Diceros bicornis minor: one gene and its partners. The protein of the gene in region 2 interacts with the protein of the main gene of each other region in a pairwise test. Links are inferred from orthologs where the notes say so. Each region holds a gene or a part of one and is shown on either strand. Other genes may lie near its edges. The genes, in order: zinc finger protein 772-like, NDEL1, YWHAE and TRIM27.

Region 1 (6,730 bases), on a different chromosome or scaffold from region 2:
GCACAAATCAGATCAGTGTCTGGCAGGCAGTTCCAAAGTTGGATGATTCAGAGGCTGGAGAAATCCATCTCAGCTATCTCACACAGAGTCAGTACTGTCCATGGAAGACAGAAACCTCTGAAAAACTGCAGCAGATTCCAGCTCAGATCTTTTCAGCAGGAGCTGGGCCAAGTCCACACTGAAACCATCGGCAGGGAGGGAATGAGGATCCCCAGTGGGTTCAGATCACTCATGATTCCCTCCATGAAGGAGGAGAGAGAGTAGAGGTCGGCCATACCTGAGCACACTGGGGTGACTGACACACAGTGTGGGGCCCTGACTGCTGGTAGAAGTGGAATGGTTTCCACAACAGACACTGGTATTGACATAACTCAGGCCAAGGAAAGGTCCTGGGAAGGTTAAAGAATGTAAAGTAGCTCTTGAAAACTTCCCACATACCTGGCACTTGCTGTTATCTCCCCAGTGTAGATACCTGGATGTATGAAGTTTAACTTTTGCTTGTGGGCTCCATCTCAAAGGCTACTTTCACACTTTTTCTCTTTTATGAGTCATGCAATGTTGAGCAAGGAGAAAGCACGTTCCCTGCTCTCTTAAGGCCTCTCCAGTGTGAAGGTTGTGGTGCTAAATGAACTTAAAAATGCAGCTAAAGGATCACCAAAACCACTACACTCACAAGGCCTTTCTCTGGTGTGAACTTTCACGGGCCAAGCAAGGTGAGAGGGTCTTCTGTAGGCTCTCCCACATTTGCTGAACACATAAGACCTTGCTCCGGTGTTACATCTCTGGTGTATAATGAGGCTGAAGTTGCCACCAAACAATTTTCCACATTCACTTTACCCACAAGCCCAAGAGCTCTGGTGTGAACTTTCTTGTGTCGAGTAAGGTTGAAATTAGTGTTGAAGGTTTTCTCACATTCATTGCATGCATAAGGCTCTGTTCTACTGTGAATCTTCTTATGTCTTGAAAGGCAGGAACTGCGGCCAAAGAATTTCCCACATTCATCACAATTATAGGGCTTTTCTCCAGTGTGGATTTTCTCGTGCTTACCACATGCAGTTTTACGGAGAAAGGCTTTCCCACATATGCTGCACACATGAGGCCTTTCTCCACTGTGAATTTTCCAGTGTTGAGTACACGTGTCTTTTCGGGTGAAGACTTTCCCACATTCAGTGCACCTGTAGGGTTTTACTCCACTGTGAATTCTCTGGTGTTGAACAAGCTGGTATCTTTTGATAAAGGATTTCCCACATTCAGCACACTTATAAGGCCTTGATACTGTATGGCATCTCTGGTGTACTTTGAGGTTGACTTTGTGGCAAAACTTTTTCCCACAATCACTGCACTTATAGGGTGTTGTTTTGAGGTGAGCTTTCTTGTGTAATATAAGGTAGGTTCTATGGCTAAATAATTTCCTACATTCGCTGCATTCATAAAATGTTTCTCCCATGTGGATTTTCTGGTGCTGAACAAACTCATCTTTGTGGCTGAAAGCTTCCCCACATATACTGCACTTGTAATCCCTTTGTCCAGTGTGAAAGGCCTCCTCACACTCAGCACTCCCGTATGGCTTCTTCCTATCATAAGTGGTATGGTGCTGGGCAAGTCCAGAGCTGGCCAAGAAGTCCTCCCCACCCTCCCTGAAAGTGAACACCTTCTCTGACATTTGGCTCTCAGAGCTCTTCACAGACGAGGGCTGGACATTTTCCATTCTAGGGAATATCTCTCCACTCTGCTGCTTCTGGATTTGGTCAAGGTTTACACTGAACCAGAAGGCTGTCCCACATGACTTACATGGATATGATGGCTGCCCAGGGGATGTTCCCTGATGCCCAGCCAGACTCAAAATGTATTTCAAGATCGGGTCACACATTTCACATGGGTGGCTCTTTTGGATCGAAGGACCCACCTCGAGAGTTCTCACCTGTGACACTCCTACAGAAACACCCTGCTCAGAAGATGCATCTTCATCTTCCACTCTATGCCAACAGCCAGTTTTAGGGCTCGACCGGATCATCTCTGCCTCGGCTAGAGCTGTGTCTTCCTTGTCAGGAACCCTGAGCTCTCTCTCTGGCATGGGTTGGGTAATCTCAGAGTATCTGGAACTTTCAAGTTTCACTGAGATCACCAGTCCAAAGTTGTCCAGTATCACACTACAGTATAGGCTTTTCTGAGCCTCATCAAGTAGCTCCCACTCCTCTTCGGAGAAGTACACGAGCACGTCACTGAAACGCACAAACCTCTGCACCGAGTCCATCTGTGCTGCTGCCTCTGCCATCACCAAGGTACCAAGCCCCCGAGAGGGGGCGGCCCAGCGAGCGCCAGCAAACACGAGGCACAAGGTCGTCTGCACCACAGCAAGGTTGTCTGCACCACAGCAAGGTTGTCTGCACCACAGCAAGGTTGTCTGCACCACAGTCACGCGCACCGAGTCTCACCGATAGGAAGTAAGAACTGGGGCATCACAGCTCCTACAAAGCATGAAGGTAGGTCCCAACCTGGAAACTGTCCTCTGTTGGGTGCAGAAGAGCCCTCAGGGAAGCAAACTCTGCTCGGTGCAGAAGAGCCGGCAGGGAAGCAACCTCCGCCCGGCGCTCCCGTCCACGTTTCTGGGACCCGCAGGAACAAAAGAGCTCGTTCCAATGCGCCGGAGACCGGAAGTCCCGCCCCGACGCTGCCTTATAAAGATTTTATTTTTTAACCCTGGAATGTCTGGCTTCCTTAGATTGGAGAGAGGAAAGGAGGATTCGGCTGGCAAAGATGACTTGAGGTAATTTTAAAGTTCGTAGTTCTGAGCTTCATTCAAGTCCATCCAAATGTTTCCATTCCAAATTTCATAGTCCTGTTTTCAATCCGACCTGCACTTAATAATAAGTGTTGATAATATGAATCGGTTTTTTTTACGCGTCTCGTTGTTGCTATATAGTGTAGCTATTAATTTTTTTTTTCTGTGTTGATCTTGTACTTAGGTACTGTTAAATTCTCTCTTTAGTTCTAATTGTTTGTTGGTTGATTATCTTGGCTATATAGATGATAATATCCTCTGCAAATAATATTTTATTTCATACCTTTTAACTTTTACATACATTCTCCACTTATTTTTTTGTCTCGTCTTAGTTCAGAGGATAGAACCTTTAGGACAGTGTTGATTAGTAGTGGTGATAAGAGGTGACTTTTTAATCTCTGAACTTAAAGTAAATTATTCTAGACTTCCCATCTTATACTGTACATATATTTGCTGTAGTAATCTGATGAGTACATTTATGAAAATTCTTTGCCAAGATTTTGTTTTATCATGAATGATTGCTGGATATCATTCAGTGGTACATTGACATATGTTCAGTTGATTATATATATTTTATTATTTAGATATATTATTTTAGTGAATTAACTTTGTTGGTAAATTTTCTTAAATTGTGCCATCCTTGCAATCTTGAGATTAAACCCTTGGTCATGATGTCATTATTATAGTGAAGTGTTGATTGTGATTTACTGATACTCTATTTAGAATTTTTGCTTCTGTGTTTATGATTAATATACTTTTTACTTTCTTGTACTTTTCTGTCTTGGGGGCCACAGTCATTGCTAAACTCAGAAAATGAGGAATTATCTATTTTCTATTGTCTGTATTGGAACCGTTTTATACAATTGAAATTAGCTTTTTAGAAAGAATGTTTAATAGGTCTAATATCTTTGTGGTTGAAGAAATTTGATTACCCTTTCTTTGATTTTATGATTTTCTTCTCACTGGGCTGCTTTGGTGGTTTATATTTCCCTAGAATTTTTTTTCCTATTATCTAGATTTTCATATTTATTCCTAGAATGTTGATCATTGTATTATATTATTTTACCTTTATTTAATCTTTTTTCCAGCTTTATTGAGGTATAATTGGCAAATAAAATTGTATATGTTTAAAGTATACAATGTGAAGATTTGATGTATGTATGTATTGTGAAATGATTACCACAATCAAATTACTTAACACATCCATCACCTTATATAGTTATCTTTTTTGTGTGTGCATGGTGAGAATGCTTAAGATCTACACCCTTAGCAAATTTCAAGTATACAACACAGTATTATCAAGTATGGTCACTATGTTGTACAATAGATCCCAAGAACTCATTCATCTCATAACTGAAAGTTTGATGCTTTAACGAACATCTTCCTATTTCCCCCACCAGTGTCTAGACCATCTAGCCACTGGCAACTACCATTCTACTGTCTGTTTCTATGAGTTTGACTTTTTTTTTTTAGATTCTACATATGAGTGAGTATGTACAGTATTTGTCTTTCTGTGTCTGGCTTATTTCATTTAGCCTAAGATCCTCCAGGTTCATCCCTATTGTCACAAATGGCAGGATTTCCTTCTTTTTTTGTGACTGAATAATATTCCATTGTATAAATACGTACACCATATTTTCTTTATCCATTCATCCACTGATGGACATTTAGGTTGTTTCTATATCTTGACTATTGTGAATAGTGTTGCAATGAACATGGGAGTGCAGAAATCTCTTTGAGATACTGATTTTCTTTCTTTTGGATATATACCCAGAAGTGGAATTGCTGAATCATATGGTATTTAATCATAAGTAATAGATTACTTAATAGTTACCCATTTTTCATAACTGATGTTTATTTAAACCTTCTTTCTCTTTAAAAATAAAATCACACTAGACAAAGTTTTGTCTTATTATTCTTGTAAAAAAATTTATCTATCTATTGATTGAATCTATGGTTTTATTTATTTTTTTGTCATTTTGTTGACTAATTATTTTCTTCTATTTAGAGTGTTTTATTTTCTTGTTCTTTTCCTACCTTCTTGCAGTGAAATCTTAATTCATTTACTTTCGGGCCTTCTAATGTTCTAGTAAATGCAGTTGAGGTTAACTTATCCAACATCTCCCTTTTGTTGTTGCGTTAGATGAAACACTCCGGTTTGAAATGCAGTGTTGTTCATTATGGTTTTTTTTTTTTTAACAAAAATGTTGTATTTTCTGTTTTGAATTCCACTTTTACCTGCAAATTATTCAAACTTGTGCGTTTAATTTTTCAAATATTTAGGTTAGTGTGCTGTGTGCATTACCTTTTTGTCATTGATTTTTCTATTATTATTTTACTGTATTTTGTTTGTGACTCTTGTATGGTAGTTTTGGGGAAACTTGAAACTTTATTTTTGCTGTTATTCACATTTGTGTACATTTCTGCAAGTGCTTGAAAATAAACTCTATTCCCTCATTTGGGTACACATATAATAGTTGTATTAGCTTAAGGCTGCTGTTGGGTTATTTGCATCCTTTACCCAGTTCTTTGAATTGATGGTTTATGAGATACATGTGTGACTTTTTTCCACTTTTGCTTACTCCTTATAGTTCTACTAAATTTTGCCTAACTAAACTTAGAATGGAAGGTTTTACTTAGGGGTGACTTATCCAACATTGAGTTTGTTTTAAATCTTCACCATTTAACAATAGTAAGATAACTAAATCACCCCTTAGGTTGCTGGTCTCTACTAGTCTCTGTACCTGTCTATTGTTCATTTCAGGTTGCGTCCTTGTTTCCTAATTTCCAATCCCTCACAGACTTTTCCCACTCCTCACACTTCCTCTATCACTAGTCTCCCCCAAATTAGCGATTATTTTTTCACTTAGGGAAAGTGGAAAAGTAGGGGGGAAGCTATTAAATTTTTTCTACTGGTCATAACTTCTCCTAAATATATTGACTCTGAATAACAATTATTCCTATTCCTCTGAATCTAGTTGTTTGAAATTATAAAGACAAAATTTAATTATTTTAATGTCCCCCTCTTTCCATTTCAGCTGACTCACTCACAATGGTCATCTGAGTGAATAAGTTATAGTCAAAGGGTTGAAAGAAATATCTAGAATGAGAGGAAATTTGTTTGTTTCTTCTTAAATATAATTCTGTCACTTTCCTGGTGCTGATTGCACTGTTTCTTTTTCATGATCTGCTGTCTCTCCTTCACTCCTTCCTCCTGCCACAACCCACAAAATCAGGCACTTTGAAGAATAAAAAAACTTTATGACCTTTATCAAAATGAAGGAGATTCACCACACTGATCACTGAGCAGAAGAAATTGTGAAATTGAACTTTTAATATTTTAAAGCCATTTGGAATACAGTTCACATGAATGATTTTGTACGATGCACAAATCGGGGGAGAGATGATGACCCTAGAGAATTTGCACTGACAGCCACAGGAGGAAGACATGCGGGAGTAATTTTTAATTGCATATTTAATTGACCTTGTAGGAAAAAGAATCTCATATTTTGTACTGAGTACAATTACATAAAGATTTGAAAATATTATTATTCAAAAAAGTTACTCAGACTATTTTATGGTATTATTAGGATCATATAATGTCTATACTCTGCCTTGTTTTGACAGTGCTAAGACAACCACCATCCTGCTTTAGAGCAGAGGGGTGGAAAGTGCTTAGGAGATAGAATAAAGCATACCTTCTGCCAGTATTTTTAGTAATTGGTAAATAACTTTATCAAGGACTCTCTGAAAAGTTTTCTGACATCATTTTGAAACTATCAGATTTATAGTTAATATAGCTAAGATATGTAATTTTAAGGTGGCTTATTGCTTTTCCAGCCGATTGGAATTAATGTAATTTACAGCCAAATAAGAGCAGTAATTTTTCCACATGTTTTCACTTTGGATAGAGCTAAAGAAATTGCTGTTTTAAAGGATGAATATGTC
Region 2 (7,644 bases):
AAATTATTTTAATATGTGTTTTTATTTTACACATGCTTCTCTATTTTCTTGATGAATCTTATGTGAACTGAATGCTGACTGCAATTTTTCTAATTTACAGGCTACTTCTACAACTTGCTCATTGGCCCTTCAAACAATATTATAATCTGTCAGAAACCTATTACTAAAATGACCATCATCTTTTCCAGAACAAAGCAATTAAAAATATTTAACCAGGGAACAAGTGGTAGGAGCAGCATGGCACAGTGGTTGAGAGCCCAGACCCTGGAGCCAAACTGCCTAGGTTTGAATCAGACTCCTCTACTCACTAGTTGGGTGACCTTGGGCAAGTTACTCAACCACTCAGTGCCCCATTTCCTCATCAGTAAAATGGAGCTAATAATTAAAATAGGGTTGTTACGAAGATTAAGTGAGTTAATATTTGTAAAGTACTTAGTACAGAGCCTGGCATATAGTAAAGACAGCATAAATTTCATTAAATGATAAAAAACTGGTAGTTCAGTCATGGACCTTTGAAGTATTACCACAAAATAAATGTGCTTCAGAATTTATAATATATAAATGAATCCTTAAAATTAATCACTTCTGGAAGCTATATGCATATTCCAGTGATAGCACCATTACTGAAAACATTTCTAAAATTTCTTTTGGTGTAGTCTTGAAGAGCCCGATTAAAAACTAAACAAAAAGTTCTTTCTTTGTGGTCACACCTCATTTTTACTGCTTCCTAATTGGTATTATCAAGCTTTATCATTCTAATTTTATTCATCAGACTTATCCTTTCCAAAAATCAGATTTTTTACAAATTTTCTACCACTGCAGATATCCAAAAGACCTTTTCATGGGCTGTAAAGACAGTCTGTTCAGTTTGCTTCAAGTTACAGTGGGAGGATGTGTTCACTGTGTTATCTGAAACTATGTAACTGGAGATATTAAGGCTATAGAAAGTTAGCCAATACAGAAAACCATACTGCTAAAAAAAATGCTTTAATGATACATCTACAATCTTCTGAAGCTGAAATGAAGGCAGATAATTAGGTACTCTCCCCTGCTACCCAAATCTTCCCTCCATACCACGTCTCATATGGATGGAGTGTGCATCTCAAAAGTGTGCTGACTTTTACATGGGCTATTATCATACTGTATAGGACTGCCAGTTATCTAGCAACTGACAAATCCACTTATTTGGGTATAAAACAGCCTGTCCAAAATGCTGTATTTACAAAGAAACTACTCTTTGTGCAATGGTAAGAAAATCCATTTTATATGATATTGCTTCTTGTTAATAGTTGTAGAATGGACTAATGAGATTAAAAGAGTTCTCTTGGAACTCACTGTAGGTAATACATACCTTTTTACCAAAATTCTTCTACTTCTCCCAAAGGTGATATTTACAGAATTTTTAACTTTTCAAAGCCCATCATAAATATGGTCTCCCTTTTTGTCCTGACTGTCAAACTTCTTTTTCTACCTTATGAAGTGCTCAGTAACTTATGTCAGAAGTAATTTTAAGCTTTAGTAACCAAATATATCTCCACATGGTTTAAAATGAGAAGAAAAATAAGTTTTACAGATGTCATGAAAGCAAGATGTACGTTTTTACTGAGGTTTCTACTTATCTTAAGTGTTCCTTATCCAACTTCAACTTATTTAATTTAAAAAGTCAAAACAGAACTAAAAAAGAACAGTTTCTTAAGATTTAGCAATTTCTATCTGGGCTACGTCAACCTCTAACCAGGGCTATCCAAAGGTTTTCTTTGTTCTTTATGACCTCTAATTTTAAATAATAATTTTGATAAAAATCCACAAGAGAGATCTGGACTCAGTTCTCCTTTACTTCTCTTCAACCCAAGACTTAATGCTGCATTTTATCCCACCAACTTCATGATTTAGCTAAGCCATGACCCTATTTCATAAGTGGATTAAGAGCAACACAATATATCAGACAAAATAATTAGCCAGCAACCCGTGAACAAGTTTCAGAGTAGGATTTTTCTTTTAACTGAGTAGCAATTCTTATCCTAAGTAAGTCCGATCAAAAATATTTGAATAAATCTTCTACTAGGCTTCTGGTATATTTTTGGCAAGTCAGATTTTCTGTTTTGCTTTCTAGCTGAGACGAGTATAAAAATCCCACAAAGAGAAACCATAACTTTGAGCCCAGAGACGTAAATTCTGATCCAAGCGAATCCACTCACCAGTTGGCAGAATCCACAGTATAAATCACTTAATACTCCCCACCCCAGCCGGGCTCAACTTCCCCATCCGTCAAATGGCGATAACAGAATCAGGCACAACCACAGGATGATGAGGTTCAAAAGAGATAGCAAGAATGTTCTGAAATGTGTGAAGGCGCTACAGAAACGGAAGGTAATAATCAGTAAAGAACTCTCGCTTTCTTGACAAAACTTAAAGGGTTACTTGGTTGCTTACCAGCAAAAAAAGAGGAGAGCACAAGCAACCCGAACCCGTCTGGTGACACTTTTCTGAACTCCAAAACGGACGACTAGCAGTTCGGGGCGGGGAGTCACGGGAATGCCGTCGGAGCCCAACGTGGGCTGCTTCCGCTCTCGCCCGCCACAGCAGAGAAGCGACGAGAGCTCAAAATCCAACCTGGCTCCAAACCACCCTCCCGGCTGAAGGGCTGGGGGGAGGAGGCGGAGGGCTGGGCGCGCCGCTGCCACCTCCAACTGAGCCACTCCTTGCGCCACCAGAGCCCCGGCCCACGGTGCCACGTCCCGGCCTCCGTCCCGGTCGTCCCTCACTCCACCCCCGGACGCGGCACATCCTCCGGAGGCGGACCGGCTCGCCCCCTTCCAGGTGGTGGGCCACCCCTGGGACCGGGGCGTGGAGGGGGCAGTTAGAGCGGTTGGAACAGTTGCCCCCGGACTGGCCGCCCAGAACCTTGCCCCGGCCCGGCCCAGCCCGGCGGGGCCTCAGACACAGCCCCCGGGCCCGGCAGGCTCCCGGGGACAGGCCTCGGCGCCACCGGCCCGGCCCGGTCCCTCGGGAGCGGCCCCGCACTGCAGGCTCACCTCCAATGTGTCAAAAGCGCATGTTCGCCGCCGTTCGACCGACGTCTCCGCTCCGCTGGCCTGGCCAGGCCCGCCCAGCCGCTCAGCTCCGCTCCCTTCGGCAGCCCCGAGCTCCACTCCGCGCACCTCCGCGCCCAGCTCCTCCCCGACACGTCAAGGGCTGCCTGGGTGTCCGAGGCCATTCTGTGACGCACGGGGGCGGGGTTCCGAGCATGCGCGCGAGCGCGCGGGCGGCCAGGGCGGGGCTGTGGCGAGGATGGCGTCACAGGGGGCCGGGTCGGCCCGGCGCGCTGACGTCAGGCTGGCGGCCGCCTCTGCGCAGGCGCCCCCGGACCTCGAGAAGTGGGGGCGTTCGGTTTTCGAGGTTCCCAAAAACTCTCTGCTGTTCCGGACAATGGCACCACGCTGGATGAGACTCTGCCTCCCGGTTTTTCAGCCACCAAGGTCTTTCAGGTGTCTGTTTCAGTGTTCCCGTTTATAAAATGAATGTCGGCTCAGATTTCACCTCGAGTCTAACCTCAACCACCCTACGAAATACCAGGGGTGTTCTAGTGCCCTTCATCCCTCTCTCTCAGAAAGACCGTTTTACGGCACTTAGACTAGCTGGAAATTTTATACTTGTTTTTGTCTTCCTCCAGCAGAATGTAAGTTCCATGAGAGCTAGAACCTCCTTTGCCTTTCTTGTCCAACAGATAGCTTGCTTGGTTCTGGACACAAAATGAGAACTCAAATATTTGTTGAATGAATGAAAGGATTCGTTGAGGGCACCAAGAGAATATAAATATCCATTTATATATTTTATGTAGCTAAGCTTATATTTATTTATTTAAGTGTGTGTGTGTGTGTGTGTGTTTTCATCTCCCTGGGACTCCTAAAGAATGGAATCCATTTTATAGGACTAGGAATTCATTTTATAGTCCAGGGAACTTGAGAGGGAAGAGGGCTGAGGGGGGAGTAGCTCAGAAAGGGGAGAAATGAGGGTGGGCAACTGCTTAGGAAGTGGAAACATGAAGGAATAGAGCTGTTTTAAAAACAATTTTAGGAACTTCTGCTGTGTAATGCACAATGTAATTCTCTCTGAGGTCAGTGTTTTTGGGGATTGGATTTGTGGGTTTTGGGGACACAGTAATGACTTGTAAGGCCTCAAGGTGAGAGCAAGGTGAGCCTGGGAGGTCCAGTTAGATTTTTGAGGAAATGGACGTAAATAGGAACAATGTAAATGGGTTGTAAGAGGTGTCCAAATCAATGAAGATCAGAGACGTGATTAATGGGGTTTGTGGGAAGGGTGGCACCTTGAGCTGGACTCTGAATAATATAGGGTTGAAAAGATCATGATAATAATAATAAGAATAGTTCACTTTTGTTTCATCTGTGTGTACTGGCAATTGTGCTAAACGCTTGGTTTGCAGAATTTAATCCTCACAACGACCCTGTGAGATAGGTACTGTTGTTATTCCCATTTGACTAATGAGGAAGCTGAAACTCAGCAAGATGAAGTTGCCTAAGGTCACTCAACAAGAAAAAAGAGGACTCAAGATTCAAACCCTCCTAATCTGGATTGTCTAACTCCAGAAACCACACTATTGACCACTGCTATACTGCCACTCAAGAAAGGGGACTATTAATAATAACTACCATTTATTGGGCTGGAGCACTGTGCTAAGTGCTTTACATACATTACCTCCCTCAAGCTCACAAGCAGCTTATGAGGCTGAAATTATTACCTCCATTTTATATATTGGAAAACTGAGGCCCAGAGGACGTGGGGTTTAAACCTAAGCAGGTCATATTCCAAGCCCAATGACCTGGGACATCATGGAAGCTCTTTTAGGCTCTGGGGCTCTGCTTCCCTGGCCGAAGCTGTGCCCTGGCCGATGAGATCACAGGCAGAGAGATGATGAGGCAGGAAGGCTTTCTTGTGAACCTAGTGCCAAGACAGAACAGTCCCGCCTCAAGAGGGAAAAATAAATAAAGGCTGCAACCCTGGTCCCTGCCTCCTGGCTGAAGTCCTGGGAAATACACTGAGTCACCTAATGGCAGGCCAGGCCCTGCAGAAAATGTTGACGTCATCTTCCAGGCCACCACCCCTCCCACCCAGCCTGGACCCAGAACTGGTGTTTGTCGGGACTGGTATGTCGGCCCCATCCTAATGAATGGGCTTTGCTTGGCAGGGCCCTCAGAGGTATCAAAGCCCTATAATTGATCTCCTTCCTCTGTGTTGGTTGAGCTTTCTCCCAAGTAACAGCCACCTTTGCCCCATTCCCTGCTTCCAGGATGCCCATCCAGGGAAAATAAAGTGGAAGTGAAGACTAAAGACAGCCTCTAAGGGGAACAAGAGTTACAAAATCAGCTTTGTGAAGGTGGAAAAGGTGGGTGAGGGTTGCCCCAGCCTCTCCCTTCATAAACCATTAAGAAGGGGTTTGCTGAGGCCTAGGTCCCAGTACAGGATCTTTCTTGGATTGAGCGCAAGGGGTCAATGTCACAGTCCCTGAGAGCACGCACAAGCATCCCAACATCCTCCCTGCCACAAACTCTGAGACTCAGGAAACAGAGGCCAGGTTCCACCACTGGGGGAGGTGTGGGTTGACCAGCTGACACCAATGCAAACTCTAGCTAATGAGGATGCTGGACTCCAGCCCACCACACTCACAAAAGGTGACGCCGTGCACCCAAGCCTGTCATGAAAACTCTGAGGAGATGGGGCATGTGTAACTCTCCACTGAATCAGGTGAGCAGACACCTGAAAATCAAAGGTTTGATTCAGCCCAATCTCTCCGTATTTTTTGGCCAGTATTTTCTGCTAAACTTTAGGGGCATAGATCAGGCTGGTTACTAATGGCCTGCTGTATATGTCCACCAGATGTCCCACCACCACCTCCAGCTCTTCATGTCTAAACCCCAAACAGATTCTCCTTTTGCCCCAGTTGAAATTTCCAAAATGATTTTCATGTTTCTGCCAATGGTGTAATCACTCCCCTGGCCCCTAAGGCACGAAGGTCTTGTCAAATCACCCTTAATTATCCCCTTCCCAGCTTTCATTTCACTCACATGGCCACCAAACCTGAAAGACTTGCCCTTCATAACTCTGTCAAATAAATCCATTTACCAGTATTTTCCCCCTAAATCTTCCCAGTCCAAAGCCTCCTACTTGTCTGTCCCTCCCTTCCCAAACTTCTCTCCCTCGAATTTCTTCTACTTTCAGCATAGTAATCCACACAGTCATCAGAATAATCTTGCTAAAATCTCACTGTGTACAGAGCATCACTGGCTCCAGAACTTGTTTTGGCATCCTGTTTCCTTTTGATAAAGTACAAACTACAAAGTCAGGCATTCCAGGCCCTCCAAAGCAACTCCAACCCACTTCACCTATCTGTGTCTGACCAGACCCTCCACTTGTCCCCCAAATGGACAGCTCCCTTCCTCTCTGGGCCTTTTATTGACTCCCACTGCCCTGTGCACTACAGCTGCTCCTAGGCTCCCTGGCCAGCCTGCCCCTCTGCCTTTTGAAGTCTCACTCATATACTACCTCCTCCAGGAAGCTTTCCCTGATACCTAACGTGAGTGCTCCTTCCTGTGAGCTCAAGTAGAGCCCCCGCATAGTTCACAGGAGACTTACTGAACACAGCCTTTTGGTCATGGAGGTGTCTGAGCTTCCCCAAGGAACCAAAGCCCGCTGAGAGCAGGGACAGTGTTGATTGTCCTAATATCCCCCAGCAACAGGCACTTAGCAAACATTTGTTTAATATGCTTCAATGAAAGTGAAAGAATGAATCAATGGTTTGGTGGCTAGAACTCCAAATGCAAGATTGACAGCACTTTCTGGAAAATGCCCCAAATTCTGAGAAAAATTACCATATAGAGACAAGATTTTCCCTGGTATGAAAGGCTGAACTTAGGTGATACCAAGTTACAAAGGAACCAGGATTGGGGTCCTAGGCAATTATGACTTTTCTCTAGCCCAAATCTTAAACCCAGTCTATAGCACCTACAATCCCCAAAGCAACATCTTTTCCTTTTGTAATAAAAAATAGTAATAATAATAATAGTTTTTTTCATTTAAAAAATTACACACTTGGACCTTGAGGTGAGAAGTGGTTTTATAGAGAGAGGAACGTCATTCATCAGCTATGAGTTTAGTGTTTGCTCTGTTGTAGGCCTTGGGGATTCAACCATGTAACTATAATAAAGCATACCCCTCCTCCACCCTCTAACCCCACCCCCATGGAGTTTATATTCTAATGGGGAAGACAGACTATAAGCAAGTAGACAAATTTATTTCTGTTAGGTCATGACAAGTGCTATAAAGAAACATAACCAGGGTAAGAGGATGAGGTGTGGCAGGGGCTGCTCCCTGAGTGAAAATAGGGCTTCATGTTCATGGGATTCTTCTCCGTAAAATTGACAAGGCCCTTTCTTCTTTTTTTTTTTTTTTTGTGAGGAAGATCAGCCCTGAGCTAACATCCATGCCAATCCTCCTCTTTTTGCTGAGGAAGACTGGCCCTGGGCCAACATCTGTGCCCATCTTCCTCCACTTTATATGGGACGCCGCCACAGCATGCCTTGACAAGCGGGGCATCGGTGCGCCCCTGGGATCCGAACCCGCGCCGCC
Region 3 (7,229 bases), about 6.3 Mb from region 2:
TAATTGAAAACATACCCCAAACCCTTCACTGACTACCAAGAATAAGCTAGAAAAGAGTTCTGGTGTTTTAAAAGGATAGCTCTCAAGTGACTCAGAACAGATGCATTCACACACACAGTGAATCAAATGTGACCATCAAAACTTTATCCCTACATCTCACATGGGGCCAATCATCACAAAGAGAAGAAAGGGGAGGAAAGGACAAAACGAGCAACTACTCCACAAACCCAAATAGAGTTTATGCTACCCCTCTACTCTCAAAAAATGTGAAAAGTACTCATCTTTTTTCCTGCTATATTCCCAACTTTTCTGTATTAATGTGATTCAGATATATGGGAAGGTTAAGACTTAGTTCAGGACTGCTTAAAGGTGATGGGACTTCCTTAATATGGCTACGGATGATACAAAAACTATTCCTTAATCTACTGACTTGTTAAGGGTGAACTCCTAGCCTCAAACTTCAATATATCCCATCCACCACCTCAAACTGTCCTTTTCCTGAACAGAGCTTAACTCTTCCTCCAGTACCATTAAATAATCCACATAAATTGATTCCAATTCCCCAGAATAGAGTTAAACAATACAAATAAGGTTCAACATACCATGCAAAACAAAAGATAAAGGTACTGCAGGAACAAAGAGAAAAGCCAGCATTTATACAAAACCAAATCATTCAAATGCACTCTCACCTTCTTCCATTCCCCACACCTGATAAATTGTTTGGTGACTAAAACTATGGGATCACTTGGCACAAACAAAAATGAATTATTGCACCCAATAAAGGAGTTGACACAGGCAGTGGCTGATTCCTGAGGAGTGTCTTCCTCTTCTTCCTTTCCAGTGAATCCCTATCTCATGCCCAACAGTCACTGGAGTTCCTTCCCACCTGGCAGATCCTTAAGGAGACACCTAACGTTTACACAACGTAACGAAATGGCTTTATCTAAAGAGTCCTATGTTAAATAATGAAGGCTTTGGTCAAAAAGCCTCAGCACTCAACACCAAAATATGATTATCACTAAACTGTCACCTATTTGGGAGCTACAATCATGAGCTTCCAAGTCGGTTTTTAAAACAAGTTTAAAAAAAAAAAAAAAACCTTCCTCTACGCCCTTTTTGGTTATCACAGCAAGTTTACTAAAAGGCTAAAATTCTACAAAACAGAAAGCACTCAAATATAATTTCATGTTTCCTCCCAAGGGCACTGATAGATTAAGAGGTGAACCTATTTGGGGCATGATGGGGAAGAAGAAAAAAAACTTCCATTATGAGCATTTGTTTGACTTCTAAACACTGAAATAAAGACAAATCTGACCTTGAGCTGTACTTCCCCATCTTATTCCCCTCCCCCTGCCCACAGGAACCTTGTTCAATACAAAGAGTAATTTAAGGATTTACAAAATGAAATTTAGTACAGTACCTTTCCTAGGTTTCAGTTCGAGGTCTTTTCTCTTAATTTTCAAATTCCTGAATCCTAATGTATGATGATACAGAGACCAGCCCTGAGGCTATTCATATGACCAAACTGGCATCAAGGAAAAAGCCCTACATAACATTTTTAAAAAGAAGCTTAGGTAATTAAAAGAAGTCTAAAGATCTATAGCATTTGATTCCAACTATGTCTCACCCTACAACAGCATTAAAACCACAGAAGCACATACATGATTTCTTGTTTTTATAATACTACAGTTTAAAGGATGTGGAAGTAATTCAAGTACCTAGGTCCAAAATGGGGGGAGGAGCAATTAAACAAAGCAGCCTGGGACTGACTAAACAGACACTACACACATTGAGATAAAGTTCTCAAAAATGACTAAAGAACCTCTGGGGCAAAGGAGCAAAGAAAAACTGTTCAAATCTGTACCTCAAATCTCTTATTTAAAATGGAAAAAAGAAAATAGGATCTGCTGGGATCCCCTACGTTCATAATCCAAAAACCCAAGCCTCAACTGAGGGCGTGGGATTGGTTAAGATCCCCAATGAACGGGCACTCCCAGACGGGTGACAACCAAAATACAGTTACTCAACGTTATCTGAAATAACTTTATTTTTCAACAGGTCTTTCCATTGTCATAACGGTGCGTGTAAACAGGAAAGTCATCATTTTTACAAACTGGCAGACTGAGGCACAAGCATGGGAAAGGGACCAGAAGTCATGGTCTCCTTGTTTCCTGTTCAGCGTTCTATCCACCAGAATCCACAGCTTATGGAGCCAGAAAATGATTACAGGACCTTCGAGCTCTCCGGGATGAGTCCGAAGAAAGGGAGCGTGAGTGAGGTCCTTCCAGACCTCCGCCAAAAGACGGCGAGGTTGAACGTAAAGCCTAAAAGCCCCTCACTCCAAGGTGTGCCGGCCTACGGGAAAGAAATCCGATCGCAGCATCTCAGCTGGCCTCCGCCCAAGGATGAAGTGCAGTGATTCCCACTCTCCCCTTACCCCACCCTCCTCCAAGACTGCCCCCCACCACAAGCCCAAGGAACCCCTCTGCTCGCAAAGGTTCTCCTTTGTGAGACTCCACAGCCGCCGCCCCACATTGGGCCTCCAGAGAAAAGCCACCGCCCCCACCCGCCATATTTCCCTGAAAGGCGCCCGCGCTACAGCTCCCGGTCGCCACTCTCCCCCATGTGGCGAGTGTTTCTTCTTCCATCTCCCCACCCAATTGTTTTCCACATCCCAAGACTAGCCCAGAAGCTCCCCTGAGGACTGCTCGCCCGGAGACAGCACCCGCCATCTCCTCCCCCTCCCCCGCCCCGGGACTCGCCCTCCCCCAAGCCGCCATTTTACAACCAACTCCTCCACCCTATGGCCTCGGCCTCCTGGCTCGAGAGTGTCTGCAGCTGAGGACGCCGAAGGGGTCACATTCCTGGGCCTGGAGCCTCCCACCGCTCCGGGAGCCCACAGGCCATTTCCTGCTTCCCGAATCCACATCCCCGGGCCAGGCTCGGAGACGACGCCGCCATTTTGTCTCCTGCTCCTGGCCTCTGTGGGCGGCGGCAGAGGGTCCGAGAATTCCAGCCCCCCGTTGCCCCCCCAACTCACCGTCGTATCGCTCAGCCTGCTCGGCCAGCTTCGCCTGGTACACCAGATCCTCCCGATCATCCATAGCGGCAGCGGCTCCGGCAGGGTCTGCGCGACGGATGGAAGCGGATAGCGTCTCCGACTCTCTCAGCCTCTCGCTCCGCGTCCGGGCAGCAAAAATGGCGGCGCCTCAATCCGGGACTTCCGCCTGCGCACGCGGACAACTGCTCAGCTCTATGGCAACCGCTCCCTGGCAACTGGCGCGGGGGGCGGGTCCGGGAGCTCGGCGCCCTAAGAGACTGGAACCAGCAAGACGCCCCTCCTCCGTGGGCTCAGCGGGCGCCAGAGGGCTGAGGCGGGAACTGCGATTGCGGAGAGGGAGAGCAGCCCCGAGGGAGCGAGGGACGCCAGAGGCGAGGCTGGCTTGGACAGCTCCTGAAGAGAGTGAGCGAGAGAGCCTGGGCCCTGAGCGAGGGCGGACGCCTGACTGGGGGCAGAGAAAGCCGGAGGCTGTAACTGTTTTTGTAATGGCAGGCCTTCCTCACTGAAACCACCTTGCTCTCTCTCCTACTTTGCCCTGTTTTCTCAGCCAAGCCCCATCCTGGGCCTGTTTAGACCCTTTTGACCCCAGGTAAAGAGTTGGGACCTGCTATGGTTGGTGGGAGAAGGGGGCTCCAGTTTTCACACCTCAACTTCACCCTCGCACTTCGCCATCTTTTTTTTTTCCTGCCCTTTAGCTTTCTTTTTCCCCTTAGGCCCACCATGGATAGGAACAGGGAAGTTGTTCAAGGAGCCTGGTCTGGGGCTGGCTCCGTGGCTTAGCGGTTAAGTGCATGCGCTCTGATGCTGGCGGCCCAGGTTCGGATCCCAGGCACGCCCCAAGGCACCACTTCTCCGTCCAACCTGAGGCCGAGTCCCACGTACAGCAACTAGAAGGATGTGCAGCTATGACATACAACTATCTCCTGGGGCTTTGGGGGGAAAAAAATGAATAAATAAAATCTTTAAAAAAAAAAAAAAAAGGAGTCTGGTCTGGAGTGCAAGGTGCAGAAGAGTGAGACGAAGATCAAATTAAGATTGAGGAGACAGGAAGGGAAATTGCTTCACACAGGAAAGAAGCTGTTTTGCTTCCCAATGGATTCCTAGCACCTTGTACTCAATACCATATCTGTTGCAAGACTGAAGCTCAGGTAACTAGAACATAAGCTGTGTGGTGGGGTCTGCAGTAAATGTAGAATAAAAAGTAGGTTGGAACCTAATTATGAAGAGCCTTGGATGGCAAGCTAAGAAGTTTGCACCTTATTCAGTGGGCACAAGCTATTTTTTGATGATTTTGCATGGAGGATGACACCATCATAGTTATACTTTAGAAAACTAATATGTTGTACAGAGCAGTGATTAAAGAGGAGGATAAATTCTCAGGCTATACTACAATAATGCAGGCAAAAGGTAATAGACGGTAGCAGTGAAAATAGGAAGGAAAGGACAAACAGGAATAGTAAGTACTGCAGACGGAAGCCAGAAGAGTTTGTAGCTGATCAGATGTAGAGATCTTGTGAGGGGACAAAAAATTAAAATTGACTTTCCATCTTCCCACCTTGAATCACTGGGATACTGAATGGCAATACCATTAACAAAAAGTAGGAATACTAGGAAAGTTTGGTGATGGAATGCAGAGGAAAACACGAGTTCCTTTTAGCACATGTTGGTTCTAAGGTTCTCAAAGATCTCACAGGTAGAAATAACCAGCGTGGAAATGGAAAGGTGGACTGGCATTCCAAACTGAAGGGAGGCTGCCGTGGAAGCAGCTGGAGAGTGTGTAGAGGTAGAAGAGGACCATACACAAAACCTTGGAAAATACCTACTTTTAAGAGATAGGTGAAAGCAGAAGAGCCAGCAGAGGAGACTGGATGGCTCCTTACTGCATTCCAAACTAAGCCCCTTCACACTTGTAACAAATATTAAATTTCAATGGTAAAAGACTGAAAATCAAAAACTTGGGTTCTAGTCCTAATTCTATAACTAAATAAATGTGTGACCTTCAGCAAGTCATTTCACCTCTGAGCTTCATGTTCATCTGTAAAGTTAAGGAACTGAAGACCATATGTTACGCCATAAAACAAGTCTTAAATATTAAAAGTTGAAATCATATGAAGTATCTTGTCCTACCACAATGGAATGAAGCTAAAAATCAATAACAGAAGGAAAACTGGACAATTAACATATATGTGGAAATGAAATAACATTCTTAAATAACTGATGGGTCAAAGAAGAAATCACAAGGGAAGTGAGAAAATACCTTGAGATGAATAAAAACAAAAACACAATATACCAAAACTTATGAGATGTGGCAAAAATGGTACTAAGAAGGAAATTTATAGTGGTAAATGCTTACATTAAAAAAGAAAGATCTCGGGGCTGACCCGGTGGTGCAAGCAGTTAAGTGCGCATGCTCTGCTGCGGCGGCCCAGGGTTCACTGGTTCAGATCCCGGGTGCGCACCGACGCACCGCTTGGCAAGCCATGCTGTGGCAGCATCCCATATAAAGTGGAGGAAGATGGGCATGGATGTTAGCCCAGGGCCAGTCTTCCTCAGCAAAAAGAGGAGGATTGGCAGATGTTACCTCAGGGCAGATCTTCCTCACAAAAAAAAAAAAAGAAAGAAAGATCTCAAGTTAGTAACCTAACTGTACACCTTAGGAACTACAAACAGAACAAAGTAAACCCAAAGCTAGCAGAAAGAAATAATAAAGATTAAAGTGAAGATAAATAACATAGAAAAAAAATCAACAAACCAAAATTTGGTTTTTTAAAAAGATTAACAAAATTGAAAAACCTTTAGATACATTGACTAAGAAAAAAAGAAGACTGACTAAGAAAAAAAGAAGATTGACTAAGAAAAAAAGAAGAGTCAAATTACTGAAATCAGAAATGAAAGTGGGCTGGGGCCAGCCTGGTGGGGTAGCGGTTAAGTTCACACCTTCTGCTTTGGTGGCCTGGGGTTTGCCGGTTCAGATCCTGGGCACGGACCTACTCACCACTCATCAAGCTATGCTGAGGTGGCGTCCCATATAGAAGAGCTACAACTCTATAACTATGATACACAACTATGTATTGTGGCTTTGGGGAGAAAAAAGGAAAAAGAGGATGATTGGCAACAGATGTTAGCATAGGGCCAATCTTCCTAAAAAAAAAAGAAAGTGGGGACATTACTACCGACCTTACAGAAATATGGATTAAGGGCCAGCCTGGTGGCATAGTGGTTAAGTTTGCACGCTCCACTTCAGCGTCCCAGAGTTCACAGGTTCAGATCCCGGGCACGGACCTACTCAATGCTTGTCAAGTCATGCTGTGGCAGCATCCCATATACAAAATAGAGTAAGATGGTTAGCTCAGGGCTAGTCTTCCTTAGCAAAAAGAGGAGGATTGGCGATGGACATTAGCTCAGGTCTGATCTTCCTCACCAAAAAAAAAAAGAAAGAAAGAGAAATATGGATTGTAAGGGAGTATTTTTAACACTGGTACGCCAATAAATTGGATAACAAATGAAATGGACAAATTCCTAGAAAAACACTGTGACATCCTGAAATAATAAGAAATAACATATTTGGTCTTTGTCCTTGGTTCCTGGAATAGAACTCCTAAAACTCTTGTAATTTCCCCAAGTGATAGGGGTGAGGAGTTTTGTTTGTTATTTACAATAAGCATCTTTCAGTCATACCTGAGTTTATGCTAATGAGGTGACTCTTGGTGTTCCCCTAGATAGCATCAGGATGGGGGCTGGTTGCCAGAGGAATCAAAGGTGATTAGAGGATTAGAAATTTCAACCCCACTCACCCAACTTCTGACCTCCAGGGATGAGAGAGAGGCTGGAGATTGAGTCAGTCACCAATGGCCAATGACTTAATCATACCTAGGTAAAAGAACCTCTGTAAAAAACTTAACGGGGCTCAGAGGGCTTCCAGGTTGGTGAACACATCCATGCCAGGAGAGTGGCACATCCCAAACCATACAGGGACAGAAGCTCACTCTGTGTGTTTCTTCATCTGACTGTTCATTTGCATTCTTTATAATATCCTTTATAGGGCTGGCCCCCTGGCTTAGCGGTTAAGTGCATGCGCTCTGCTGCTGGCGGCCCAGGGTTCGGATCCCGGGCGCGCACCGACGCACCGCTTGTCCGGCCATGCTGAGGCCGCGTCCCACATACAGCA
Region 4 (7,961 bases), on a different chromosome or scaffold from region 2:
AGTTTAGTCCAACCTATCCATTTCACACATGAGGAAACTGAAGCCCAGAGAGGCTGTATTACTCTCTCCATCTATCCAATTGGCTAGTGTCAGAGCCAAGAAGTATGTCCAGGTGCCCTGATTCTCAGAAAAGGGCTGTGTCCCCTCTTTGCCAATCCTCCCACAGAAGACACAGCTGTGCATAATGATTCGAGTCAGGCTCACTGGGAAGATTCTCCATCCATCAGACCTATTTTCAAGCAAGGGGATCTGAGGCCACAGCGGATCGTGTGGGCAGAACAAGTGGTGGGATGTGAGGGCATCATGAGAATAAGTTCCCTGTCCCAAAGTTCTTTACTCTGGCCACGAATGACAAAATTTCTCACAAGATGATTCCAGACACTACTAGTCTAAGAGTTTGCTTTTCAGATGCAAATACCTCTAACAGGTAGGAATTTGTAATATTTTTTGTCCAAAAAATAATGCTTAAACACCTAGGTGGTGGATATATGAGTATTATATTATAAAAGCCTCTGTCCTTTTTGGGTTTTGTTGGTTTTTCAAAACAAAATCCCCAAATATCCTGATCACAAATTAGTGTATCAGCTACTTGCTAAGGCCTTAGGAAACTAGAGGAAGGGAACAAAGTGAAAAGTTCAGAATTGAAGTGTTGTCAAGAAAGCGAACACTCCAGCAAGAAGCAAGAGTGGCTTATGCAAAGCCACTGTCAGCAACTGTCTGCAGAATGGTACCAAAGGAGGCTAACTGTACCCAAGAATTTCACCTGTATCAGCTTTGTCAAGGATCAACCCTGATCTGTACAAAGCTAGCAGGTTAAACTTTTGATAGGTCAGATCTCCAGGGGTTCCAACCTTGGATCTTCCATCCTTTCCCCAAAAATGTAGGAATCCTTTGGTTCTCCAGGTGAGTTCGCAACTGCCATATGGAGTTGTTCCACCTGCACCCAGAAGTTCTAGGTGACCTGGCTGGACAAGGTTAAAGAAAGTAACAGCCTCAAAAACAGGGAGTGACCAGCAAAACCGATATTATCTGTGAATTCCAACGACCCTTACCAAGAGTTCAGCTCGTGCCTGCTCCCCCTGTGCCCGACGCCTCTTCTTTAAGTCTTTTACTCTTTTTAGGTGGTCCAGCTGGTTATGGATTTGCTCCTGAGAAAAGCAAAAACAGTTGGGCAGTTCAAGATTAGGCAGCCCTTTGCATCAGCATGGCTATTCTGCTTATCACATATGCAACTCACATGCCAAGTACCTGGTTAGATCTTGTCCTTGGACCACACTGCTATCACCAGAGCACATGGGTCACCACACCTCTCCTTTGGTAATTTGTGTGTATCTTAAATGCTGGGTCACCTACTTATCCTTGAAAGGATACTGAATGGCTTAGTGGAAAGATGACTGAACTAGTTAATGTTAAGTTAATGTTAAAGAACTAGTTAATGACTAATGTTAAGTTGTAGCTCTGCCACAGAGGCATATTGAGAAAATGATTTAACTTCTCTTATTTTCCTCATATGTGACATGCACAAACATCACCTTCCCAACTACTCAAGGGTTATCACCAGTGTGAGTAAAACAATATATTTGAAAGCACTGTTAATCTTACGTGATTAATTATGCAAGAATGTACTCACATTTAAACATATACATAATTGTGTACATATTCCTTCAGCCCTCAAATACACAGACAATAACACAGCATTATGCACTCCTTGAATGTTGCCTTACAACTGTTTCATATTTAATACTTTGTTTCCACATTATTGTTCAGCTGTGCCAGTCTGTCGGTTCAACAGTTCACAAAGGGCTCCACACATCGTTTTATTTCACTTAATCTTCATAATAACTGTTTTATTTCCTATGAGTTTCAGAGTGGTTAAATGACTTAAGCAGGAAAGAGCTCTGTTCTGTTCCGTGAGCTTCTAGAACAGGACGGAGCACAGGGAAGCGCTAAGGAAATGCTTATAGACTAGATGATGAGCATCTGCTTGAAGTGTATACAGCCAGTTAACGTCCGAGTGTGTTTTGTCTGACATCATCTAGAAGCAAACAGGAGTACGAGCGTCTCTGAAGCTTGTCGATGCGTACGTGGTTTTACTCACATCTTTTATACAGTCAAGGGGGGTCTCCAGGGGCCGTCTTTATGCATATATGCCCGGTAAACACAGGGGCACATAAGGAGACTGGGGGTGGGGAGACTTCTGGCTTCCTCACCAGCTACAGGTTTTCCTCCCAAATCTGAGTGCCGAGGCTCTGGAGCGGACAGAGAGGAAATGACGGCTGTGAACCACACGTCCGGCTCAGCCATTTTCTAGGCGGAAAAAAGGAAGCCCCTTTGGCTCGCTCTTCCCTTTGTCCGACTCGCGCTCCTGCCCCTCCCGGCTCCGCGCGCCCGGCCCTCACCTTGAAGCCCTCCACCGCCTCCTCCAGCGGCAGCACGCTGTGGCCGCGGTGCTCGCGGGAGCGGTCGCACACCACGCAGATGGGCATCTGGTCCTCCTCGCAGTACAGTTTCAGGGGCTCGCGGTGTTTCTCGCACACGCCCATCTCGCCTCCGGGCCCCGACGGCCGCTCGGTGCGCAACTGCTTCACCAGCTGGGTCACGTTGGCCAGGTGCCGGTTGGGCCGCATGTGCCGCTGCGGGAAAGTCTCCCGGCACTGCGGGCACGACACGTTGGTCTCCGCCGCGCCCCAGCAGCGGGCGAGGCAAGCGCAACAGATGTTGTGGCCGCAGTCGAGCATCATGGGCTCGGCAAAGTACTGCAGGCACACGGGGCAGGTGGTCTCCTGCTGTAAGCACTCGGCCACGCTCCCGGAGGCCATGGCGCGGGCCCGCGGGGGCGCACGGGCTTGGGCCCCGGCGCCCAGCTCCGCGCGGAGCCCAACTCGACTGCGCTCCCTCCCGTCCGCTGTTTCCGGGCGGCGCGGGGAGGCGAGCCGGGGTGACGGAGGGCGGCGCCTCCCGGGCCCGGATCCCAGACGCGCCCGCGCGCTAGACCCGCGGAGGGGCCGGGCCGCTCCCTGCGTCGCGGCGCCCGGCTGAATGACTTGGGGATGCTGCGGCCCCGCCGAGCCCAGCGGCTACGCGAAGGAGGCGCCGCCGGTCTGACTCGCGGAGCCAGGCGCTCGCAGCGCGCAAGACAACGTGGCCGCGTCCGAGCGGATCCCGGCGGCCGCTCAGACCCCACCCCGGCGCGAGCGGAAGGGGCGGCTCGGGGGGCGGGGTTTGGTCCGGGCCTCCCGCGCGCCTTACGGTTTCTTGGCCCCTGGGCCTGGATTGTTTCCTCCGGGAGCGCCGCCGAGAACGCTCGGGAGCACGATCCCCGGGACAGCTGTCACAGGCAGGCGGTGCACACGGGGCGCAGCGGTGACAGGGTAGCCCCTGCCTGCACGCTCCGGGCCCACCGCCGTTTCCGCGGCCCTGGGCCCATAGTCTTTTGTTGGCTTTCCTATCTGGTGCCTAGGCCTCAGCTAGGCGAGAGAAATGTGGCTTTGTGTTGGTATGGGAAGAGACATCTGTCCTCCCCAGTCGGGGGTAGCCGACTGAGCCCCATCCGGTCTGTGAGGCGCTTCATTAACTCCGTTTACAGGCGCTCGCAATTTTGTTTCAAAGGAGAAAGGCTTCATTATCAGACGGCAACATTTCTGTAGGACAGAAAGTGAGTGAGACAAGCCCAGTTCTGCTACTTCCTACTGTGCCTAAGCAAATTGGTTTTCCATTCTGAGCCTCAGTTTCTTCTCTGGTGAAATGGGAATAATTATACCCCAGCAAAGAGGGAAACTTGATTACATCTTTTACTTTTTAGCCATAAGGAAATTATCCTTTAAGTAATAAAATACCCACTGCATAGAGTTATTGTATCAAATAGGACCTAAACGTACTTTTTCCTTCCCAAAGTGTAGGGAGATTGGTAATCCCACGGTGACTCAGGCTCTTTTCATTATCCAGTAGATTTACAAATCTTTTGCGTTGCACCCTCATCCGTAGCTTGCTATTTCCTAGTTTCCTTTGCTATTTTTTCAGTATTGTCCGTCCTCTAGATTTAATTGGACAGCTTTGCTTTGCTTTATCTCTCAACTTGCCTCTGTTCATTTTAATTTTCATTACTACACTTTGATTTAAATTCTTTCGACAATGTCATTTTGAGAATGTTTTTTAAATGAGTTAGTAACTGGATGAATACAACCAGTTCTGCTAGTTTCCCTATTTCTAGTCTTTTCCTCTAACCTACTTATATTACACCTCAAAGGAGAGAATCATCCTTAAAACTTTTCTCAAAATGCTTCTTTCATTCTGTCACTTCTTACTGTAGGGGAGAAAGAGATTTCCTCTACCCTCTGGGTCCTTCTGGCTGGGGTACGAATTAAATTGACATGAGACAGAATAATAGGAGAAAATCAAACAAAACTTTATAACATGTATACATGGAGAGACCCAGGAAAAACTGGCTAACTCGCCAAAATGGCAGAGGCTCTCATCTTAAATACCATCTTCAGCTAAAGACAAAGGAGGATGTTGGGGGTGGGGGGAGTCAGCTGAGGGAGGTTACCAGAAAAGCACAGTAAACAAGAGTAAGGTTATTATGCAGATTTAAGTCTTTGCGTTCTGCATTGCTAAGAGTTCCTAGAGATAAAGTCATTCCCCCTTTTTCCTGGTACAGAGAGGGAGATACCGTTACAGATGGAAATTTCACTTACAAATATAGATGTTTCTTAAAAAGGGTAAATTCTACTTTTCAGAGCTTCTCCCATGTCTGCAGTTTTTAAAAGTAACCAGCCCAAAATAATCCTCATGCCAAAGAAACACATTTTGGGGTGGCCAATTCTGATCCCCCCCATTACTCAGAAATCTTCAAAGCTTCCTTTTTGCCTCCAGAACATTGTCCAAACTCTTGAGGATGGAGTCCAGTCTGAGCACTTCTGGCTGACATCTTCACTGTCCTCTTAACAGTGCTGCTAGCCCAGCCTCTGGCTCAGACTGTGCTCACCACAGTCCTCTTCAAGGCTTCCTCATGAATCCTACCCCTTCTTTAGAGCTTAACCTAATCAAGCTGGCCACATGGATCTCTCTCCTTTCCAATCAGCCTCCCGAGCTCACGCAGATCCTCGAATTCTGGTAGTTGGTTATTTTCTTAAGACTTTCTTTGGCTTTGCCTTGTGTGGAACCCTTGACCTGTCTGTCAAGGTTTCAAATCAGGGCATGCTTTTAGAATAGAAAGTGATTTGTGCACTCACATAGTCCAACATACCTTAGAAATAGGGAAACTGAGGTCAGAGGTAACTCCATGAGGACAGAGGCTCCTCTCCAGACCTTCTATGCTCTCCATTACACCTTGCACATAGCTCTAATCATATTGAAAGTGCTTAAATGCTTGTTGAATTATTAGACTAATAATTTGATGATTCCACTGTCACATTTTATGCATACGTTTTATCTTTATAACAGTTGTTATTTATTCCTTTGTAAAATGACAGGGGTGCAAACACCAATGCCTGTTAGAGACAAGAAGGTAACTTATGAGCAGGCCAGACCAGGGACACAATATGGAAAGATGACAACAGTGACTAATTGGAGGACAGACGTCCTTCCTGAGAGGCAGCTACTTTTCATCTCTAGCTGAAGAGGACCCCTGAGAATGTGGGCCCAGGATATTGCCAAAGTTTTAGATTTTCAAGGGACAGCATATACAGTGACAGATGGCAACTAGACTTTTGATAGTGAACACAATGTAGTCTATACAGAAGTTGAAATATAATGATATACATCTGATATTAATGTAATGTTGTAAACCAACATTATTGCAATAAAAAAATAAATAAAAAATGAAGCCATCATGAGCACACACAAGAAAAGAGAGAAGGCACAAATCTGGAGTTTTATGTGAAATTTATTGATTTTTAAGTGTTGGAAACTAACTAAAAATTGTAAAATCATCTTTGCAAGATGAAATTGGCTTCCTGACCTCCAGTTCAAGATTTCTGGTACAGCTATTTATTTTAATAAGAACGTTTCAATCTTAATGCAACATGGAAGGGACTGTTGTTGACTATTTTATACCCAATCTCCACTCCTTCCTTAGAATTTTATTCTAGATAGCAATATGACCAGCTAAAAGATACTTCCCAGGCCGCTTTGCTGCTAATACTGTGGTAAATTCATGAAGGCAAAGCTACAATATGAAACCTTGTCCAGCTGGTTATGGATGTAACCAGGAACACCCTCAACTCACCCAGCATTTCTATTTATTTGTGTGTGTGTACAAGAATGTTTATAGCAACTTTACTCACAAAAGATAAAATTGGAAACAACTCAAATATCCATCAATAGTAAACTGTATAAATAGTGCCATGTTAATACAACAGAATGATACACAGCAATAAAAACAAATGTACTGTTGCTACATGTAACAAGAGGGATGAATCTCATAGATGTTGTGTTGAGCTAAAGAAGCTAGACATAAAGGAGTTCATTCTGTATGATTTCAGTTATACAAAATTCAAGAACAGACAAAAAATAATCCATAGTGATAGAAGTTACCCTCAGAATGGGGATGGGGTGAATTAAAAAAAGGAAGGAGCACATGGGAACCTTCTGGGGACCATGGATAATTTATATCTTGATCTGAGCTATGGTTACATGTGTGTCTACGTATACAAAAATTCATTGACATAATGGGAGTTCCAGGGGAGATGAGAGCAAAAAAGGAGAGCAGAAAGAATATGTGAAGAAATAATAGCTGAAAACTTATCAAATTTGATGATAAAAAATCTTCACATCCAAGAAGCTCAGTGAAGTCCAAGTAGAATACACTCAGAGATCCACACTTAGACAGATTGTAGTCACATTTTCTCAATATATTCCCTTTGTTCCTTTTCAACCTGAAATTCTCACTGTTGACTGTTTTGGGGGGTGAGGGAGCAGGTCATTTCCAGTTATATGTCCTGTATTCAAAGACAGAGAATAATAATATGTGGATCTGAGATTCAGTATTTAAAATGAAACATTTACTCTGAAAGCAGCAGTTGGGCCCCACAGTGTGGATTGTACCATCACACTGAAAGTTCTATGATGCACTGTCACAACAGTCTTGTGCTGATGTATATCTTGTCCCTGGTCCTAACTGCCACTCTGTGCAGAGCCCAGCACTTCTTTCCTACTTCAACATGGTCCTGAGATTGTGGGTGGCCAATGATATCTATGTGGAAGTTTTGGGGTGGGAATTGTGAGAAAGCCTCTTAAAGGAAGCCTACTCAGTTGGGAAGTGCACCTTTTAACCTTCCCACTTCATACTTTTTCCAGCCTGGAATGTGCACATGTTGGTAGGAGTTCGAGCAGCTGTCCTGGACCATGAGGCAAACTTAAAGATGGAAGCCAGCACTAAGATGGTGTAGTGAAAGGTAAAGAAGACTGGGTTCTTACTCACGGCAGAGTGACTGTGTCCAAACTTCATATATGTGAGAGAAACTAAAGCCACTGTCTTGTTTAAGCTACTTATTGGATTGTCTGCATATGAAATAGAAATTAAACCTAACTGATAAAATACAGTTTTTATTAACAAAATATTTTATTTAAAAATAAATTCCTACCTACCCCTTCCACTCAACCTGTCTGTCCTAAGGGTACCAATGATTTCTAATAGTATTGGCTAAATCCAGAGGACACTTTTCAGTCTTCATCTTAATGTTTCTTAGGCATTTGACACTGTTGACCCCTCCCTCCTTGGACTGTTTTTTCTTCCGGGCACCAAACTGAGTAGGACCTGATGAGGCCTATGGTATTTCTGATTCCTCTATTTCTTTTATCTGCCTTTACCAAGTGATACTAAAGTTAGTCTGGGAAAATAAAAATAAAGAATAGTTAGGAAAAACACAAGGCTACAATAATTAAAGTAAGAATAAGCTGATAGATCAATGGGACAGAATAGGAACTGAGAATTAGACCCAAATGTGAATAAGAATTCAGTA

The links.
Region 1: the proteins of NDEL1 (region 2) and zinc finger protein 772-like interact in a two-hybrid assay, tested with the Homo sapiens proteins (2 studies listed by BioGRID and IntAct). The link is inferred for Diceros bicornis minor from reciprocal best matches to the Homo sapiens genes NDEL1 and ZNF17.
Region 3: the proteins of NDEL1 (region 2) and YWHAE interact in a two-hybrid assay, tested with the Homo sapiens proteins (2 studies listed by BioGRID). The link is inferred for Diceros bicornis minor from reciprocal best matches to the Homo sapiens genes NDEL1 and YWHAE.
Region 4: the proteins of NDEL1 (region 2) and TRIM27 interact in binary tests that used the Homo sapiens proteins (3 or more experiments, as listed by UniProt). The two-hybrid records come from large-scale screens. The link is inferred for Diceros bicornis minor from reciprocal best matches to the Homo sapiens genes NDEL1 and TRIM27.

The regions. Positions count from the first base shown.
Region 1 is NC_080781.1:29,855,414-29,862,143, forward strand, and holds zinc finger protein 772-like, read right to left. Parts: upstream 2,276-6,730; coding exon 698-2,275; downstream 1-697. UniProt on the Homo sapiens protein: May be involved in transcriptional regulation.
Region 2 is NC_080757.1:10,012,743-10,020,386, forward strand, and holds the start of NDEL1 (nuclear distribution protein nudE-like 1), read right to left. Parts: upstream 3,199-7,644; 5' UTR 3,036-3,198; intron 1-3,035. UniProt on the Homo sapiens protein: Required for organization of the cellular microtubule array and microtubule anchoring at the centrosome. May regulate microtubule organization at least in part by targeting the microtubule severing protein KATNA1 to the centrosome.
Region 3 is NC_080757.1:16,308,089-16,315,317, reverse strand, and holds the start of YWHAE (14-3-3 protein epsilon), read right to left. Parts: upstream 3,196-7,229; 5' UTR 3,105-3,195; coding exon 3,041-3,104; intron 1-3,040. UniProt on the Homo sapiens protein: Adapter protein implicated in the regulation of a large spectrum of both general and specialized signaling pathways. Binds to a large number of partners, usually by recognition of a phosphoserine or phosphothreonine motif.
Region 4 is NC_080753.1:37,907,654-37,915,614, reverse strand, and holds the start of TRIM27 (zinc finger protein RFP), read right to left. Parts: upstream 3,055-7,961; 5' UTR 2,820-3,054; coding exon 2,400-2,819; intron 1,149-2,399; coding exon 1,053-1,148; intron 1-1,052. UniProt on the Homo sapiens protein: E3 ubiquitin-protein ligase that mediates ubiquitination of various substrates and thereby plays a role in diffent processes including proliferation, innate immunity, apoptosis, immune response or autophagy.